4 separate regions of the Mus musculus genome follow, and regions 2, 3 and 4 are each reported to be linked to region 1. Evidence: microRNA targets listed by miRTarBase, many of them from high-throughput screens and not tested one by one. Region 1 holds a microRNA gene; each other region holds the end of a gene's coding sequence.

Evidence for each region. The annotated mature microRNA mmu-miR-1970 reads UGUGUCACUGGGGAUAGGCUUUG and lies in region 1 at 1,055-1,077, opposite strand. An mRNA with a match to its seed (bases 2 to 7 or 8) in the 3' UTR can be bound and repressed. Matches are read on the target gene's strand: a 7mer-m8 pairs with bases 2 to 8, a 7mer-A1 pairs with bases 2 to 7 and ends in A, and an 8mer does both.
Region 2: the mRNA of Epha7 is a reported target of mmu-miR-1970. Seed matches in the 3' UTR shown: 8mer at 1,640-1,647.
Region 3: the mRNA of Rcn3 is a reported target of mmu-miR-1970. Seed matches in the 3' UTR shown: 7mer-m8 at 3,425-3,431.
Region 4: miRTarBase lists Gask1a as a target of mmu-miR-1970. Seed matches in the 3' UTR shown: 7mer-A1 at 892-898.

The regions. Positions count from the first base shown.
Region 1 is chrX:135,785,120-135,789,285 of GRCm38, forward strand. It overlaps Mir1970 (microRNA 1970), which reads right to left and starts at 1,098; the gene lies at 995-1,098. The region is part of intron 4 of Gprasp1 (G protein-coupled receptor associated sorting protein 1); the gene reads left to right.
Region 2 is chr4:28,963,588-28,967,744 of GRCm38, forward strand. It overlaps Epha7 (Eph receptor A7), which reads left to right. Exons shown (of 17, transcript NM_010141.4): 17 at 302-3,916. The coding sequence ends at 416. Among named protein-coding and RNA genes, the nearest start is that of Gm11917, 100 kb to the right of the region's middle.
Region 3 is chr7:45,079,622-45,083,787 of GRCm38, forward strand. It overlaps Rcn3 (reticulocalbin 3, EF-hand calcium binding domain), which reads right to left. Exons shown (of 7, transcript NM_026555.2): 6 at 3,945-4,144; 7 at 3,293-3,742. The coding sequence ends at 3,635. Among named protein-coding and RNA genes, the nearest start is that of Rcn3, 11 kb to the right of the region's middle.
Region 4 is chr9:121,977,990-121,982,155 of GRCm38, forward strand. Gask1a (golgi associated kinase 1A) reads left to right here. Exons shown (of 5, transcript NM_177743.5): 5 at 233-2,219. The coding sequence ends at 443. It overlaps Pomgnt2 (protein O-linked mannose beta 1,4-N-acetylglucosaminyltransferase 2), which reads right to left. Exons shown (of 2, transcript NM_153540.4): 2 at 3,617-4,166. The coding sequence ends at 3,982. Among named protein-coding and RNA genes, the nearest start is that of Gm39463, 16 kb to the right of the region's middle.

The sequences.
Region 1 (4,166 bases):
TAAAATAGGTATACTTTCCTGAGTGTATTTGGTTTATGATTTACATTTATTGTGTCATTTTTTAAAATATCCATCTGTCTAGTGTGTTTTGCTAAAGGTCTGCTTTGGTTTTCTTTTTATTTAAATGCCCTGATCAACTACTGTGTTACTTGCTATTAGAACAAGAAGGGGGGCTGGGGGGATACATGTCATCATGCCTATCTAGTTTCCTTTAAGGAATAGCAAGGAGCACAATTCACAGCTTTTCTAAGATGCTAGAGATTCTTGGTAGTATGAAGTACCAGTCTAGGCCAGTTCATAATTTAATTACTATCTGTTTTGATGATGCCTCCAAAGTAGGATTGATACTACTAAAGTATTGCTATGCTAAAGCAGTTTGGTATTTTTTTTTACTGCAGTTATTAGCTCAGTTAAGCTGAGCTTTAGTCCTGTGATGTACAACTTGGATTCATGATCCCTAATGGAAAGGTTTAGTTACTTGTCATATAACAGAGTGACAATAAGGCTTTCCCTCATTTGGGTTTTAGAATAACATGAATGGTGTTTTGTAACTCATAATATTTTTACTTCTAAAACCAGCATCTTTTTTCACAGGTATTGATATTGTCAAGGTGCCTTAACTGTGGCTCACATAATGTTTATGACTGTATCTTATGCCTTCTCTAGACAGCTACTCATTGTTTTGTTTTGTTTTTTAAAAAAGCTATTTCTATGTATGGAAGATGAAGGAGAATAACTCTAAATGATCATTTGAGAAAGGGATATTGCTTCTGGATTCTGACATGAGGAAAAATGCTATTCGCTATTCCAATGATCATTTACTCTAACAAGTACCTAGTATGTCCCAGTCAGTGTTCATTGCTGTGAAGAGACAGCATGTCCACGGAAACTCTTATGAAAGGAAATATTTAATTAGGGCTTGCTTACATTTTCAGAGGCTTAGTTCATTTTCATCTTAGCAGGGAGCATGGCAACATGCAGGCACATATGCAGAAGGATCTGCAGGCAACAGGAAGAGTGAGTGCCACTAGGCCTGACTGAGCTTCTGAAACCTCAAAGCCTATCCCCAGTGACACATTTCCTCCAACAATGCACATCCACTCCAATAAGGCTATACCTCCTAATCTTTCTCAAGTAGTATCACTCCCTAATGGCCAAGCATTCAAATGTATAAGCCTATGGGAGCTATTCCTATTCAAACCACCACATTACACTCCCTGGCCCTCATATGCTTGAAGCCATATCATAATGCAAATATACGTTCGGTCCAACTTCAAAAGTCCCCATAACTTAAAACAGTCTCAAAACTGTTTAAAAGTCCAAAATTCAAAGTCACTTCTAAAACTTCATAGCATCTCTTAACTGTAACCCCCCCCCCCATAAAATCAAAATCAAAAAGCAGATCACATACTTCCAACATATAATAGCACAGGATATAGATATTACCATTCCAAAAGGAAGGCAAGGGAACATAGTGAGGAAATACTGGACCAAAGCAAGACTGAAAGCTTGCTTGCACCTCCATGTCTAATGTCAAAGCGCTCTTCAGGTCTCCAAGTCCTTTCTGCTTTGTTGAATGCACTTCTTCCTCTTGGACTGGTCGACACTCTGATAGAAGCTCTCCTTGGCAGGTATCCCATGACACTGGCATCTCAGCTCCAACATCTTGGGGTCTCCAACACAATCCAGACTTCACTTTCACAGCTTCACTCAGTGGCCTTTCTGGGCCTCCATGCAGGGACACCCCTGACATATGCCTGAACTCAACAGCTTTTGCTAGCTATGGAGGGAGGTTCCATAACCCCTTACCTCCAAAGCCAGAACTACATGGCTGTGGCTGCCACATTCTGCTGTTTGCTGGGGCTGGAACTTGGCCCCCTCATTCAATTACATCTACATCAGATTTCTATTATTGATGGTTTCCTTTACTGCTTAAGTTTTTCTTTAACACCTTTTCCCAAGTCGGAGCTCAGCAGAGTGGGACCTTATCCTGAGGTCACCACTCACTTAAATCCATTTAACACCAGGCTTTTCTTTAAACTATTTTATTTCCTTGAGCACCGGTGCTCCCTTCTCCTCAAATTGTACTTTTTAGTATTTTGCCTTGCTTGTTTTCATTATTCATCTGCATAATCTCTTCTGCCAATGTCATTAATTCAAAACTCTTCAATTTAGCCTCAGGCATATTTTTCAGACAGGGGAAGAAAGCAGCCATATTCTTTGCCAAAATATTACAAGAATGTTCTTTAGTCCTCTTACTACTATTCTTTTCCTCTGAGACCTCTTGAGCCAGGCCCCCACATTTCCATATCATCCTCACTACCACTGTGCTCCATGCTTCTGCGACAATGGCCCATTAAAGCCCCACTTAAAGTGTTCAGTTGCTTTTCTAGTGCAAAGTCCATATTCCACCAACAAGCAGCATGGCCAGGCCTGTCACAGCAGTACCCAAGTCCCTGGTATCAACTCCTGTCTTAGTCAATTCAATGCTTGATTGTTGTGAAGAGACAGCAAGACAGCATGATCGTGGCAACTCATAAAGAAAGCATTTATTCAGGGCTTGCTTACAGCTCCAGAGGTTTAGTCAAGTATTGTCATGGCAGGGATCATGACAGCATGCAGGCAGACATGGTACTGGAGAAGAAGCTCTGAGTCCTATATGCAGATTTGCCGGCAGCAGGAAGAGTGAGTACCATTGGGCCTGGTTTGGGCTTCTAAAACCTCAAAGCTCACACCCAGTAGCCCACTTCCTCCAACAAGGCCACATTTCCTCCAACTAAGGCCACACCTCTTATTCCCCGTCCTAATGACTACACCTTCAAATTGCTGAGCCTATGGAGGCCATTCCTATTCAGACCACCACATAATAGTTTATGAAAACCAACCTATATGATCCTATTACTATCTCCAAATGTGTCCAACAAAATGATTTTGCTGAAAACATTTAAAGGGTGTTTCTTACTCTGAAACTTAAAAGAAACTTAAAAGGTTAACATCTCTTTTCAAACTTTACGCTATGGTAAAAGTAATATGATTTACATAAACAACAAAAAATAACCCAGGATGTCAGAAGCTTTGAGTAGTCAATAAATTGAGTATATTATGTATCAGACCTTGTTCCTATTTCCTAGAAATCTATTATAGAAGTAAAACAAAATACCCTCTTCATAGAACTTTTAGGGGTGGAGGAAACAACAGAATTATAAATATATAATATTGAATGGTGATAACTGATACAGAGAAAAATGTTATAGCATATAAGGATAGTGGGTGTTAGAACGTAGGAATAATATTTTTGGTGGGATAGTCAGGGAAGTTCTCTTTAAGAAAGTAAAAAATGAAATGAAATGAAATGAAGAGGTAAGGCATGCTGCAGAGAGTAGTCTCTCCCTGAGAAAGAACAAATGAACTTCTTGGGTTATTTTTAAAAACAGTGTCATAACTGGTGTGGCAAAAATGAGACATCAGTGACTAGCGAATGGTAGAACTGATTGCTTAGCACGTAGAAAAGTCCCCAGTACTATAAAAAAAAGAAGAAGAAGAAGAAAGAGGCAAAGGAACGGTTAACAGAGCTGGTTGTAGCCTGTGAAAGAAGAGCCAAACCATGTGAGATAGAGATCCACTGTGAAAAGGAGTTTGTACTTTTTAAAGTCTTGTCGCAAACCATTAGGTTTTGACAAATGGATCGTTGTAATGTGACATGACTTTTTTTTCAAGGATGATCCTTGCTACTATTTGAGAAAAACTTGTGGTAGTTTGAATGAGTTTGACCCCCATCGGCCCAGAGGGAGTGGAATTATTAGGCTCCCAGTGACTATTAGCCTGCTTTGAGGTCTCTGATGCTCAAGTCACACCCGGTGTGTCACGCGCTTTCTGCTCCCTGCTGATCTGCATGTAGAACTCAGCTCCCTTTTTCAGCACCATGTGTACCTGCATGCTACCATACTTCCAGCTATGATGATACTGGACTGAACCTCGGAAACCATAAGCCAGCCTCAATTAAATGAAACCAAACATCCCACAACATTTCCCCCTTTTTGACTACACTAAAAGTTGTGTTGTACACAGTTTAACCTTTACAACAGAAACCATTATCAGTCCCACAAACTTAACCGCCCCAATGTCTTTCTGAAGAACCATTGATGCCATGATCCTACATAACTGCA
Region 2 (4,157 bases), not on the chromosome of region 1:
TAATTTACAATGCCCAGTGTTTCAGGTAACATTCCATTGCCTTTTAAAATAAAATCTTAGGATGAGTTAAAAAGCAACAGTATGGTAAACTACGAGACAGACTTGTTCATCCAGTATTTTCAAATGAGACTGTCCAAATACGTCAGCATCTTCTTTAGAGTAAGACTGTATAGCACCCAAGAGTACTGTTAGTGTGCGTCAGCCAACAGGTAGTAGAAAGCGTGAGTGACTGTGAAGAAGCACGCAGAGCACGTTCTGTTCTTTGTCATGGATCTGATAAGCGTGCCCTTGTCTTTTTCAGTGATGTGATGAGTTTAGGGATCACACTGGTTGGCCATCAAAAGAAGATCATGAGCAGCATCCAGACTATGCGGGCACAAATGTTGCATTTACACGGAACAGGCATCCAAGTGTGACACATCGGCCTCCCTCAGATGAGGCTTAAGACTGCAGGAGAACAGTTCTGGCCTTCAGTATACGCATAGAATGCTGCTAGAAGACAGTTGATATACTGGGTCCTTCCTACAAGAAAGAGAAGATTTTAGAAGCACCTCCAGACTTGAACTCCTAAGTGCCACCAGAATATACAAAAAGGGAATTTAGGATCCACCACTGGTGGCCAGGAACACAGCAGAGACAATAAACAAAGTACTACCTGAAAAACATCCCAACACCTTGAGCTCTCGAACCTCCTTTTTATCTTATAGACTTTTTAAAAATGTACATAAAGAATTTAAGAAAGAATATATTTGTCAAATAAAAATCATGATCTTATTGTTAAAATCAATGAAATATTTTCCTTAAAATATGTGATTTCAGACTATTCTTTTCCAGAACCATCTGTGTTTATTCTGCTTAAGGACTTTGTTTTAGAAAGTTATTTGTAGCTTTGGACCTTTTTAGTGTTAAATTTATGACACGTTACTACACTGGGTACCTTTGAAGACTCTCAAACTTAAAGGAAAGCAAAACTACGCACATAGTCGAGGATGGGACTTTGTCCTTCATGGCTTTGGTATCCTGGCTGTGTCATTTTGTTAAACCAGTGATGTTTTCATATTGTTTGCTGATTGGCAGGTAGTTCAAAATTGCAAGTTGCCAAGAGCTCTGATATTTTTTAACAGGATTTTTTTTTCTTTGTAAAAATCAGACAACATACTAACTTTTCAATGAAAAAAAAAAAAAAAAAGAAAGCAATAATGATCCATAAATACTATAAGGCACTTTTAACAGATTGTTTATAGAGTGATTTACTAGGCAGAATTTAATAAAAAAAAAAGAGAGATGTCAAATTTTAGGTTTATGTGTATATGATAAAAGGCTGAGCTTCGTCTGAAGATGCTGGTGAAAGCAAGACTGGAAGCGAAGCTCTCCAGCTTTGGCTAACCCAATCCGAGCACATCAAGAGCTTCAGTCTTGTGACAGTAAGAAATTTAGGAACATAGTTGACCTATATTTTGTATTCTTTCTTGTTGAATGCAGTCCAAATACAAAAGTAAGGAATTCAGTTTTCTATTGTTACTCTGAAGCAAGATCACAGGGGCCATTCTCTTCTCACCACTCACAGACAAACTAGCCGCAAATATTTCCACCAATGCAGTGAGAAGAAAGCAACACAGAGGTATTTTATCTATGAACAGTGACACACACACACACACACACACACACACACACACACACACAAACCCTTTTAGGTCAAAACTCTTTTACCCCAGAAGGAAGAAGTAAAGGGTCTGGCTTTTCTGTTTCCACTTTATTTATCAGACCATATTATTTGGTTACTGTGTTTGAATTTCATAAGCAATAATTAAATGTGTCTTTATAGCTATTTCAGGAATGTATACATATTTGAGTAATGTTTTCAAAAGTTACAAAAATCATGAACTACCCCAAAACTGAACTGTTGTACTTCCAAAGAAAATTGGGCTGTTTATAATGATTTTACTAGAGAAAGATCCCAGGGATCGGTCCTAATTGGTGTTGTTTGGTCATGTGGACATCCACAAACAATCAAACAAACAAACAAACAAACAAGAACAGGTAACAAGCAAAATCTGTAAATGTTCCTTTGTAAAACTTGTAAATTTTATTTATACCGTCTTGTTTTGTATACACATTTCTCAGTCGTGGCTCCGAGGACATGAAAATGCTCTATATTTTTCTATTTTACTTGCAGAGCTTCACAAAGAAACAGGTATTTTCAGTGCTACTTATTGTGTTTTCCCACATTTAGGACCAAAGATGGCTATAGAAAACTCAAATGGATTGCGTCCCAAGCCCCGCCCTATCCTTCTTTTTCCTTTTTATCACTGTACAGTGTTATTTGATATTTTAATTTATTTTTTGATTGAGTAGAAAACTCATTTTAATTTCTCTAAAATGTTTTTTGTCCCTTAGGAAAAAAAATAATCTGTAAAAATAGTTTTAATTAGCATAATCCAGTCACCCTAGACACTTCCATTTGTAATCTTTGTAATAGACTGTAAATATATTTTTGGAACTATAACACAATGTGCTTGAGGGTTATTTTTCAGTGTCTGCAGTGTATACAAAAGTGTTTAACCTCAGTATAGCACTTTACAATTCTAATCAGTAGCGTTGGCCTTTGTGCGAATGAGTGCGAGCTTGAGCGAGTGTTCTCTAATTCCGTTTGGATTCCGGACTCACTAATAATGAAGTTCTTTTCTTGTTCATAGCTTAAGGTGCTTATTTTTTCTATTAAAAATTAAATTAACAAAAAAGCCATTCTAGAAATAGAAGACGCAGTATGGTACATGCAGACAGAGTCTTTCCTGCTTTTTCTAGTAATAGATTTATAGTTGAGTAGTCTTTCTTGAGTAGAAGGGCAGAATAAAAGTGGTTTTTTTGGGTTTTCTTTTCAAGAAATAACTTTTTCCTTCAGCAATATACCTCATCTGCCTTAAATTTTTTACAGCTCTTTACAGGGAAAGGGGAGACGGGATGGAAAAGACACAGCACAATAAGAAGTGGATGATTGCATCGTGCTCTCGTTTGTAGGTCTCTTTTCCTAATCAACACTATGATTTTGAAGTACGCGTACACGAAGCAAACGGGAAGAGATAAGGAATTAGCATTGTGAACCTGACTGTAATCCTCTCTTCCGGAAAGAGATGAGATGCTATTGCGATGAGAATGTACAACTTGCACCTTGAAATCTTTTTTGATAATTAGTGCTCAGGGGAGGGGGGGGGAAGTAGAGAAAGCAAACGCCCAACAGAGAATTCCAAAAGTATAGAACACGCAACAGGAAATGGCCTCCTTGCTTTAATACAGCCGCCTTTTATAGAACACCGCCCACCCAAACCACCTGGTTTGCGTTCAGTACTGAGATACATTCAAGTAACTTCTTACATTGGGAGCTAATATTTTCTCAGCAGTGGATCAGGGCCCTGTTTACTAGACTGGTGGCTGGCTCATGCTTCTCAGAGCACTGTTAGTAGAATCATATTGTATACTTATGTAATCTACATTAGCTAGCACTCTTTAGGACTCTATTTTAATTGCTCCTCTTCTTGGTGTTTTTAAGACAATGGAAAGGGTGTAAGTCACCTCTCTTTTATTTAGGTAATGCTGATCCCTTCCCTTTTGTTTCCTGAGCAGCCCAGAACTGTACTGCTCTCCAATGTGCATGTTCCAACGAATAACTGATGTGTATTTTTTTGCTATATGTGGAGAAATCATGGGGAACTTGGGGCGAAATATGCTTTTTGTTGGTTGAATTTTGTCCCTCCTTGCCTAAGAAATACTACAGGGGTCATCCTTTTATAAGGACAAAAAAAAAAATGCTTTTGAACAGTGTCTTCAATGTATCAAGCACAAATAACTCTTTCTTCAACACGAATCATAAGTCTCTTTTTACCAGCTTAAAATAATAAACGAGTCTATTAGACAATGTAAAGAAAATCCTGTCTCCAGTCATTGGTGGGTTCCTTCACATTCCTTATGCTTTCCTTTCCTAGCTAATCAGATTTTGAGAAAATAGTTGAGTGGGCTGATCAGAATATGAATAAACTGATTATCCTTACTCCCCCACATGGATACTGACCTAATTTCACTCTAATCATTTATTATGGGATAACAAGACTGTTTACAAAGGGCCAGATTGTTGAACATTTGAGTTAAAACCTGGTTTTGTT
Region 3 (4,166 bases), not on the chromosome of region 1:
ACCCTGACCCAATGCTTTAAGACCCATTACTTGGTTTGCTAACTTTTAAAGTTGACAAGAATAAAACTCCTAAATCCTTAAAATCCACATGGTGGGAAGAAAACACCATCACAACACATCGTCTGACCCGCACACACACAAAAAAAATTCAATAAAAATAAACAAGATGCGGGGTGTGGTGGTGCACGCCTTTAATCCCAGCACTCACGAGGCAGAGGCAGATGGATTTCTGAGTTCGAGGCCAGCCTGGTCTACAGGAATATACAGAGAAACCCTGTCTCAAAAAAAACCCCAAACAAACAAACAAGATAAACTGCCTTGAGATACTGAACCCCCCAGGGAAGCATCACGCAAGCCCCTGTAAGAGCCAGTGATTTCCCAGCCGGTAGTCCCAGAACTCGCCAGCAGAGGGCACGCGCGCCATTCCATGCCTTGGTAAGTAATTGTGTCTGCTCCGGAATACACAGACTGGGCTAAATTGGATGACATTTCCACCGGCACTTGGGGACTTTGAAGTCTCTTCTTCTGAGCTGTATGTCAAAGCCCTTGCGATGTCACCACTTTTTCTGAAGATGAGCACTGTAGATGTTATGCAGTCTGGAATGTTTAGGAAGGCACTGGCCTGGCATGGACCTCATTAAAAAATTCTGGGGTAGCCGGGCGTGGTTGGTTACGCCTTTAATCCCAGCACTTGGGAGACAGAGGCAGGGGATTTCTGAGTTCGAGGCCAGCCTGGTCTTCAGAGTGAGTTCCAGGACAGCCAGGGCTACACAGAGAAACCCTGTCTAGAAAAAACAAAACAAAACAAAAAAATTCTGGGGTTCCAACTGGGCATGGTGGTGCACACCTTTAATCTCAGCACTCAAGAGTCAGGAGAAGATTGATGTCTGAGTTCGAGGCCAGCCTGATGTACAAAATGACTTCCACGTTAGCCAAGGCTGCACAGACCGGTCTCAAAAAAAAAAAAAAAACAACAAAAAAAAAAGTTCTGTGTCCAATCTTCCAGGCAATCAGGCTTACTAGTAAACACCTTTACCCATGTGCTGGGTCGTCTGGGAAGAAAGAACCTTTTATTATTTGTTTATTTAGGAAGAGTCTTTTATTTGCTTGTTCGTTTATTATATACATTGGTTGTGTTGTCTGAGTGTGTGTGTGTGTGTGTGTCTGTGTGATCCCCTGGAAATAAAGTTGCATAGACCGTTATGAGCTGCTGTCTGGGTGCAGAGCCTTTGGAAGAACAGCTAATGCCCTTAACCCCTGAGCCATCTCTCCAGCCCCAGGAAGGAAGAATCCTTTTTTTAGATTTGTTTATCACGTATACAATGTTCTGCCTGCATGCATGCCTGCATCCCAGAAGAGGGCATCAGATCCCATTACAGATGGTTGTGAGCCACCATGTGTTGCTGGGAACTCAGGACCTCTAGAAGAGCAGTCGGTGCTTTTAACTGCTGAGCCATCTCTCCAGCCCCAGGCAGAAAGATTTTAGTTGAGAAAAGGCCTCCATAACGTTGGCATGTAGACAAGTCTGTGGAGTTTTTCCTGAATGATGATTGGTGTAGGAAGGGTCAGCCCATTATGGGCGGGGCCACCCTGACCAGGTTCTTCTGGGTGCTGTAAGAAAGCAGGCTGAGCAAGGCCTGGGGCACAAGCCAGTCAGCCAGTATCCTCCAAGGCTTCTGCATCAGCTCCCGCCCCAACTTCCCGGAATGATGAGCAGTGGTCTGAAATAAGCCTTTTTTTCCTCAGGTTCCTTTTTCTCACAGTGTTTAATCCCCAGGACACTTGCTGAGCTATGCAGCCAGCACCCACACCCCACTGCTTATTTTATTTGTGTGAGTGTGTAAACGAGTGCCCTGAGAGGCCAGAAAATTCATGAGATTGCTCTGGGATGGAGTCCCAGGCACACGTGAACTGCCTGGCATGGGTGCTGGGGTCCCAACACTAGGATCCATCTGCAGGACACACACACACATACACACGCATGCACATGCATACACATGCATGCACACACATGCACATACACTTTTCTTTCTTTCTCTCTTTTTTTATGACTTTTTCTTTTTCTTTTTTTTTTTTAGATTTATTTATTATATGTAAGTACACTGTAGCTGTCTTCAGACACACCAGAAGAGGGCGTCAGGTCTTGTTAGGATGGTTGTGAGCCACCATGTGGTTGCTGGGGTTTGAACTCAGGACCTTTGGAAGAGCAGTCAGTGCTCTTAACCGCTAAGCTTGCTCTCTCTCTCTCTCTCTCCCTTCCAATTCCTTTCTTTTTTTCTTTTATTTTTTTTCCCGAGACAGGGTTTTCTCTGTGCAGTCCTGGCTGTCCTGGAACTCACTCTGTAGACCAGGCTGGCCTTGAACTCAGAAATCTGCCTGCCTCTGCCTCCTAAATGCTGGGATTAAAGGCGTGCACAACCGCTGCCCGGTTGATTGTTTTTCATGACACAGTTTCTCTGTGTGACAGTCCTGGCTATCCTAGAACTGGCTTTGTAGACTAGGCTGGCCTCAAATTCAGAGATCTGTCTGTCTCTGTCTCCCAAATGTTAGGACTAAAAGTGTGTGCCATCGCCTGGCTTTTTTATTTTTTTGCACCCCTTCCGCTTTTAAATTAAAATATAATTACATTTTATTTCCCCCCTTTTCCCTCCAACCTTTTTTTTTAAACAAACAAACAAAACCAAACAGGCCAGACATGAACACCCGGACGTCCTCCTGCGCTAGACTCTGCCCTCGCGTTGCTGTATTACGGGTGTATATCACTCTCCGTGTGGCTCAATGCAGCTGACACAGAGGCGCTTTCCCTCCTCATTCCTGGCTATTCCATTTTCAGAACCCTCACCGCGGGGTGTTTCACTGAGAGCTGTGGTTGTTTCTCCAGCTGTGGTTTTGTGCTTCCCCACCCTGGAGCACTTAGGGGCGGGCTGCATTTCCTGCCTGGCTTTCCTGCGGCCCCCAGGCTGCTGGCTTTATTCTCGGCCTCTGGGAACGCCCTCAAACGTCCACTAACACCCATCTCGCATGCCCAGATGCCCGAGAGCAGTGCTCCTCAACCTTTAACACAGTTCCTCTTGTTTTGACGGATCTCCACCAACCATAAAATCATTTTTGTTGCTATTGCCTAACGGTGATTTTGCTGTTATGAATCGTAATGTATGTGACCCTGTGGAGGGGACATCACCGCTGGACTACGCCCTCTTGAGGCCCTCCGCACTCAGCGCCAGCATGCTCCTCCATCTCCTCACAGTATCCTTCCCCCCACCCACAGATAGACAGACAGACAGACAGACAGAGCAGGGGACCCCAGCAACAGCTTTTATTGCTCCTAGGCAGGACAGGTTAGCTTGTGCTGTTGACATTCAGAGTTCAAATTGCGGTTAGGTCAGGATGTGGCCCCGCGTCAGTGCTGGGATGCTATCAGTGGGTGTCACTTATCTTTGAGTGCCTGAGTATCCTGGGCAGGTTGGGGGGTCCCAGGGTTGGTGACAGGGGTCTCAGGGAGAGAAGGTGACTGAGGGCCCAAGAACCAGGAACACCAGAGCTGAGTCTGTGTCCTGGGGGCGGGGCTGGCTGCAGTGGCCCCGCGGTTGTCCCCCATGTGGTCATGTGGTCGGAAGTCTGAGAGACATGGGGATCAGAGCTCATCATGGTGCCTTGTCAGGTCCTCACCGTAGTTGGTGGCCTGGCTGCCCACAAACATGTTCCAGTTGCTCAAGATCTCAGCTTTGCTCAGCCGGCCATCCTGTGGGCAGAGTGGTCAGCAGGAGGCAGGGCCCACGGGGGACATCCCCACCAGGCTGTCCCTAGGGCCCCTCCTCTGCCTGGCTTCTCTCCTCTAGGCCTCGGCCCCCATCTGTTTCTCCGGATCTGTCTCTAGGTCTCTTTCCGTTTCTCTCTCTGTTTCCGGACCCACCTGCGTGCAGGCAGTAGTAGCCCAGGCTCACCTTGTCCGTGTCGCTCTCATGCAGCAGGTGGTTGGCCTCCACCAGGGGCTGGTCCTGGGATGGAGGCAGCACCCAGTAACCGACTTCACTGCCATCCAGTCGCCCGTCCTTGTTCAGATCCCGGAACTCTCGGAACTGCTGCCGCTCTGTCTGCACCCAGGCAGGTTCCTCCTCCCCAGGCTCCTCGGAGTACAGGTCCGCTGAAGGGGATGTGGGGGTGGG
Region 4 (4,166 bases), not on the chromosome of region 1:
TGCCTGGCTGAGCCCAGAGTGGTTGAGTTGGCTCTCCAGGCTTCTCTGTAGGATGGGACCCATCTGAGAGAACTACCTGATAAGGAGCTAGTAGGCACAGGCCTGTCCTGCCCTGACTGACTGTGCTGCATTCCCCAGCTGGGCAAGTTCTGGATTCACACTTTGTGGGGACTCTGAGCTGACTTAATGCCTTTCCCTCTGGGGCTCTGGGGCTCTGGGGCTCTGGATCCAGGTTTCCAGAGTCCGCTGTGAAGGTTCTTGCATCAGGGTGTCTACAGAACCTGCTGTTCAAGTCGCTGCAGATGGACCAGGTGTTCTGGGAGAGCCAAGGTGGAGCTGCAGGTCTGAAGCATGTCCTTGAGACTCTGGAGAGTCGGGGACAGATCCTGCTGAGACACATTAAGAAGCACAACCTCACACTGTTCAGGGACAAGGACCCGTGAGCCCAAGGCTGCCTGGGCCGAGCACACCTTGCTGGAGAACTTCACACAATGTAAACCTCAGCTGGTGCGCGTCCCTCTCAATGACAGCATTTCTGTGACAGTAGTTGGTCATCCTGATGACAAATGGGGAGAGCCAAGGCTGGAGGATCCTACCTCACCGTGGGACAGGTCACCTGCTGAAGATGATGGAGGGCCTGCCGTCTCCATGCTCTGGCAGTTTACTCTCACGCACCAATAAATATGTTCAAGAATGTTCATGAACTGTTCCCTGCACATGCGCATGCAGTGCTGTGTGCATGTGTGCAGAGATATGTAGGTATGTGCCTGAACAACATCATGCATCCTAGGCAAGCACTCTACCAGCTGAACTACATACCAGAGAAGTCTAGTTTTTAAGATTCATTATTTTAATTTCAAAATTTATATTTATGTGCATGGGTGTTTTCTCTGACACACACACACACACACACACACACACACACACATTTTGTACCATGTGTGTACCTAGTGTCTGCAGAAGCCAGAGGAGGGTGTCAAACCTCAGGGACTTGAGTTACAGATAATTGTGAGCTACCATGTGGGTTCTAAGAATTGAACCTGGATCCTCTGGAAGAGCAGGCAGTGCTCTTAACCACTGAGCCATTTCTCCAGGCACTAATTTTATTTTTATTTATGTTTATGTCTGTGAGTATATACCACGTGTGTGAAGGTGACTATGGAAGCCAGAAGAGGACAGCAGATTCATTGGAACTGGAGTTACTGGAGTGGTTGTGTGCCACCGCGTACAGATGCTGAGATGAACTCTTTGTAGACCCTTCTGAGAGCAACAGATGCCCTAAACCATTGAGCCATCCCTCCAGCAGGGAGAAGACTATTATAAAACCCAAGTCCCCTTCATTACATAGATGTTATCTTCACTTTCATGCTAGCCATTGTGTGTTTTAGGCTGACTGTTCTGTTTGTGCACAAGAGAGCTTTGAATCTGAGCTGCACTCAGCCCTGGCTGTTAGACTTGCCCATGGTTCCCCTCAGTCTCCCACTTGGGACTTGACCTGTTTGTCTTTTGTGAAATAGGAAGCCGTAATTCTGTGCAGCCCAGTTTGTTCATGTTAGCCTGCGAGCCTCTCAGAACGGCTCTGCTCCTCCGGTCATTGAAATGTCATTTATTTACCTCTTTTACATGACTGCTCATTTGTATGAACCCCATCTGAGAGATCACTTTGGTTTCACTGCCCCAGATTCCATTCAAGAGTCTATTCTGTTCCCATCTGAAAGTATACTTTTATCAGATAAAAACCAAGCACACACAGGCCCTTTTGTGAGCTGTGCTGGGCTGCACTCACAGGGTTTCTTAAGAGCCTGCTTCAAAACTGGGCACTGTTCTAATCCAAGTTACTGTATTCTGCTCGGTGGTGTAAGGATCCACTTAAACATCTCTTTTTTGTATACGAGTGTTTTGTCTGCATGCACATTTGTGCACTGTACACGCACAGTGCCCACAGAAGACAGCAGAGGTAACCGAGGCCTCTGGAACTGGAGTTACAATGGTCGTGAGCTGCCTCATGAGTGCCAGCAACTGAAGTTTGCTTCTCCGCATCGCTGCTGAGTTCTCTCTTTAAGCCCTCTAGATAAATATTTATATGCCTCTTACTAGTCTTTCAGTAGAAAACCAAATTTTCAGTTTTATGTTTTAATTTCTCCTTATATATACTGTTTTAGGGCTTTGGTTGGGTCTTGTTTTGTTGTTTGAGATTAAAAAAGGCTCAGCCACATCTCACTCCTGACTTTAATGAGAGCGCATCTATGGTTTCACTATGATCAGGGAGAACACTCCGCCAGGCACTACCCAGGACAAACATGGGTATTATGGATATCCCCAAAGGACGCTCTCCTCTTCACCGCCTGCGTGATGTACCTGGCACATCAAAGGAGCTCTACCCAGCATTCTCCCTTCACGGTCCTGACACTAGCCTACCATGTCATCTCCTTGACAACCAAAATTAAAAGTACTGACTGTCAACTCTGCTTCTTGCTATCCAATAAGATGTGCCCAACGACACTCTCTGAGCTGTAGCTTAAGTTGGCTCCTTAGACCACTCCCAAATACAGGCAATCACCTGTTGCCCACCAGAATATGATGATGAAACCCTTCTGCTGAAAACACCAAACACCTGTCGCAGGACACAGAGAAATCGAGATGGAAACGGAACTTCCCCCCTGCTCGCCAGCCCTCACAGTATAAAGTGTTGTGCGGGCTGCTGGCCGGGGGCATATCAGCCACCTTTTGTGGCTGCAGATAGTAGCCAACAGCTAGGCAAGATGGGCCCACTGATGCTACAGGGACAGGTCTGTTATGGGGAAACCAACTGCCTCCTGGTTGGATTTGAGAACCATTCCACGGGAGGGAATTCAGGTTTGACGCTGGAACCTGTTAAAAGCCTGTGGGTGGGGAGGGCATGGGCTCTCTCTCACAGGGAAGCTACTGCCACTGTGCTTCATGGATAGGACACACCTACAAAATTATCTTCTAAAAAATTTCATGCCTACAGACCAGTGCTGCCGCCCGCTCTGTCAAGTTTGCCGTGCCAGCAGTCCCTGGAGACTCATAACTGGTTACGGTGCTGAGAGTAACTACCAAGTGTTCATCCATGGGCAGCTATGTCAGCCTCGCCCAGGCTCGAGGAATATCTGGAAGGGGCAAGAAGAATGGGTGGCTGGGGAGTGGAACACAGACTTCTGGGTCTGACTAGGCTGCTGCACTCTTGAACTCACAGCAGCTGTGATGACCAACCATGATCTGGCCTATCTCTACCTCGTCATGGAAATGGGAGGAGCTAATAGGGCCGCACGGCTCCCTGAGGATTTATAGGTCAGTGTCTGAAAGGAGACATTTTTTTTAGTTGTGTAGTCAACGGTGTTGCCCTTGCAGACAAAACCTCACCCATGTGCTTGTCAGCGACCCTAAGAAACTTGTTGACTCATAAATAAAGACACGAAGGGACTTGAAAATAAGAGGGGTGGGTTGGAAAGAGGAAAAGCTCGGTGGGAGGGGGCAGGAAAGGCTAATGAGGTGAACAGTATTGAAGTGCATTATAAACATGCCCTAAAACATTGCATAAAACCTATTACGAGGTATAATTCGTGCATGCTAACAAGGCATCAGAAAAAGACTTGGGCAAGATGTTCATAATCATTTAATGACTGCTCCAAACACACCTGTCACTCAGCTACAGATGAAATTCAAAGATTATCTGCCTAGCCCACCAACCACGTGACCACTGTTTCTCGAGGCCAGGACCTACACCAAGGCCAAAGCAGGAAACAGCATGGTTATTAGCAAGAGCAGATCCCCGGGCCCTGGCAGGCACCACCTCTTCAGAGCTAGAGAAATCTGCAAAAAGCACACTCGGGAAGCAGGCTTAGTGCAAGCCTACTCAATAAATAGATAATTTATCACCACAGCTGCTAGCAGAACTGTGGACCTGGGAAAGCTGAGCTGCGAGAGGTGCCCTCCAGAGGCCTGGCCATGGTCTGCTGGCTACGTGCTGCACACCAGCACATCTGCAAAAGGTCCCAGGAGGCTCCTGTTAAATATACAGCGGACCCACACCAGGTAGGTGGTAAAAGGTTTGATGTTCTCTGTGAAGGTGTGGTTCTGCAGGGTCAGCATGTAAGGCACATACGTGTTCTCCCCTTGCTCCTGCAGCCACACCTCGTATTTCA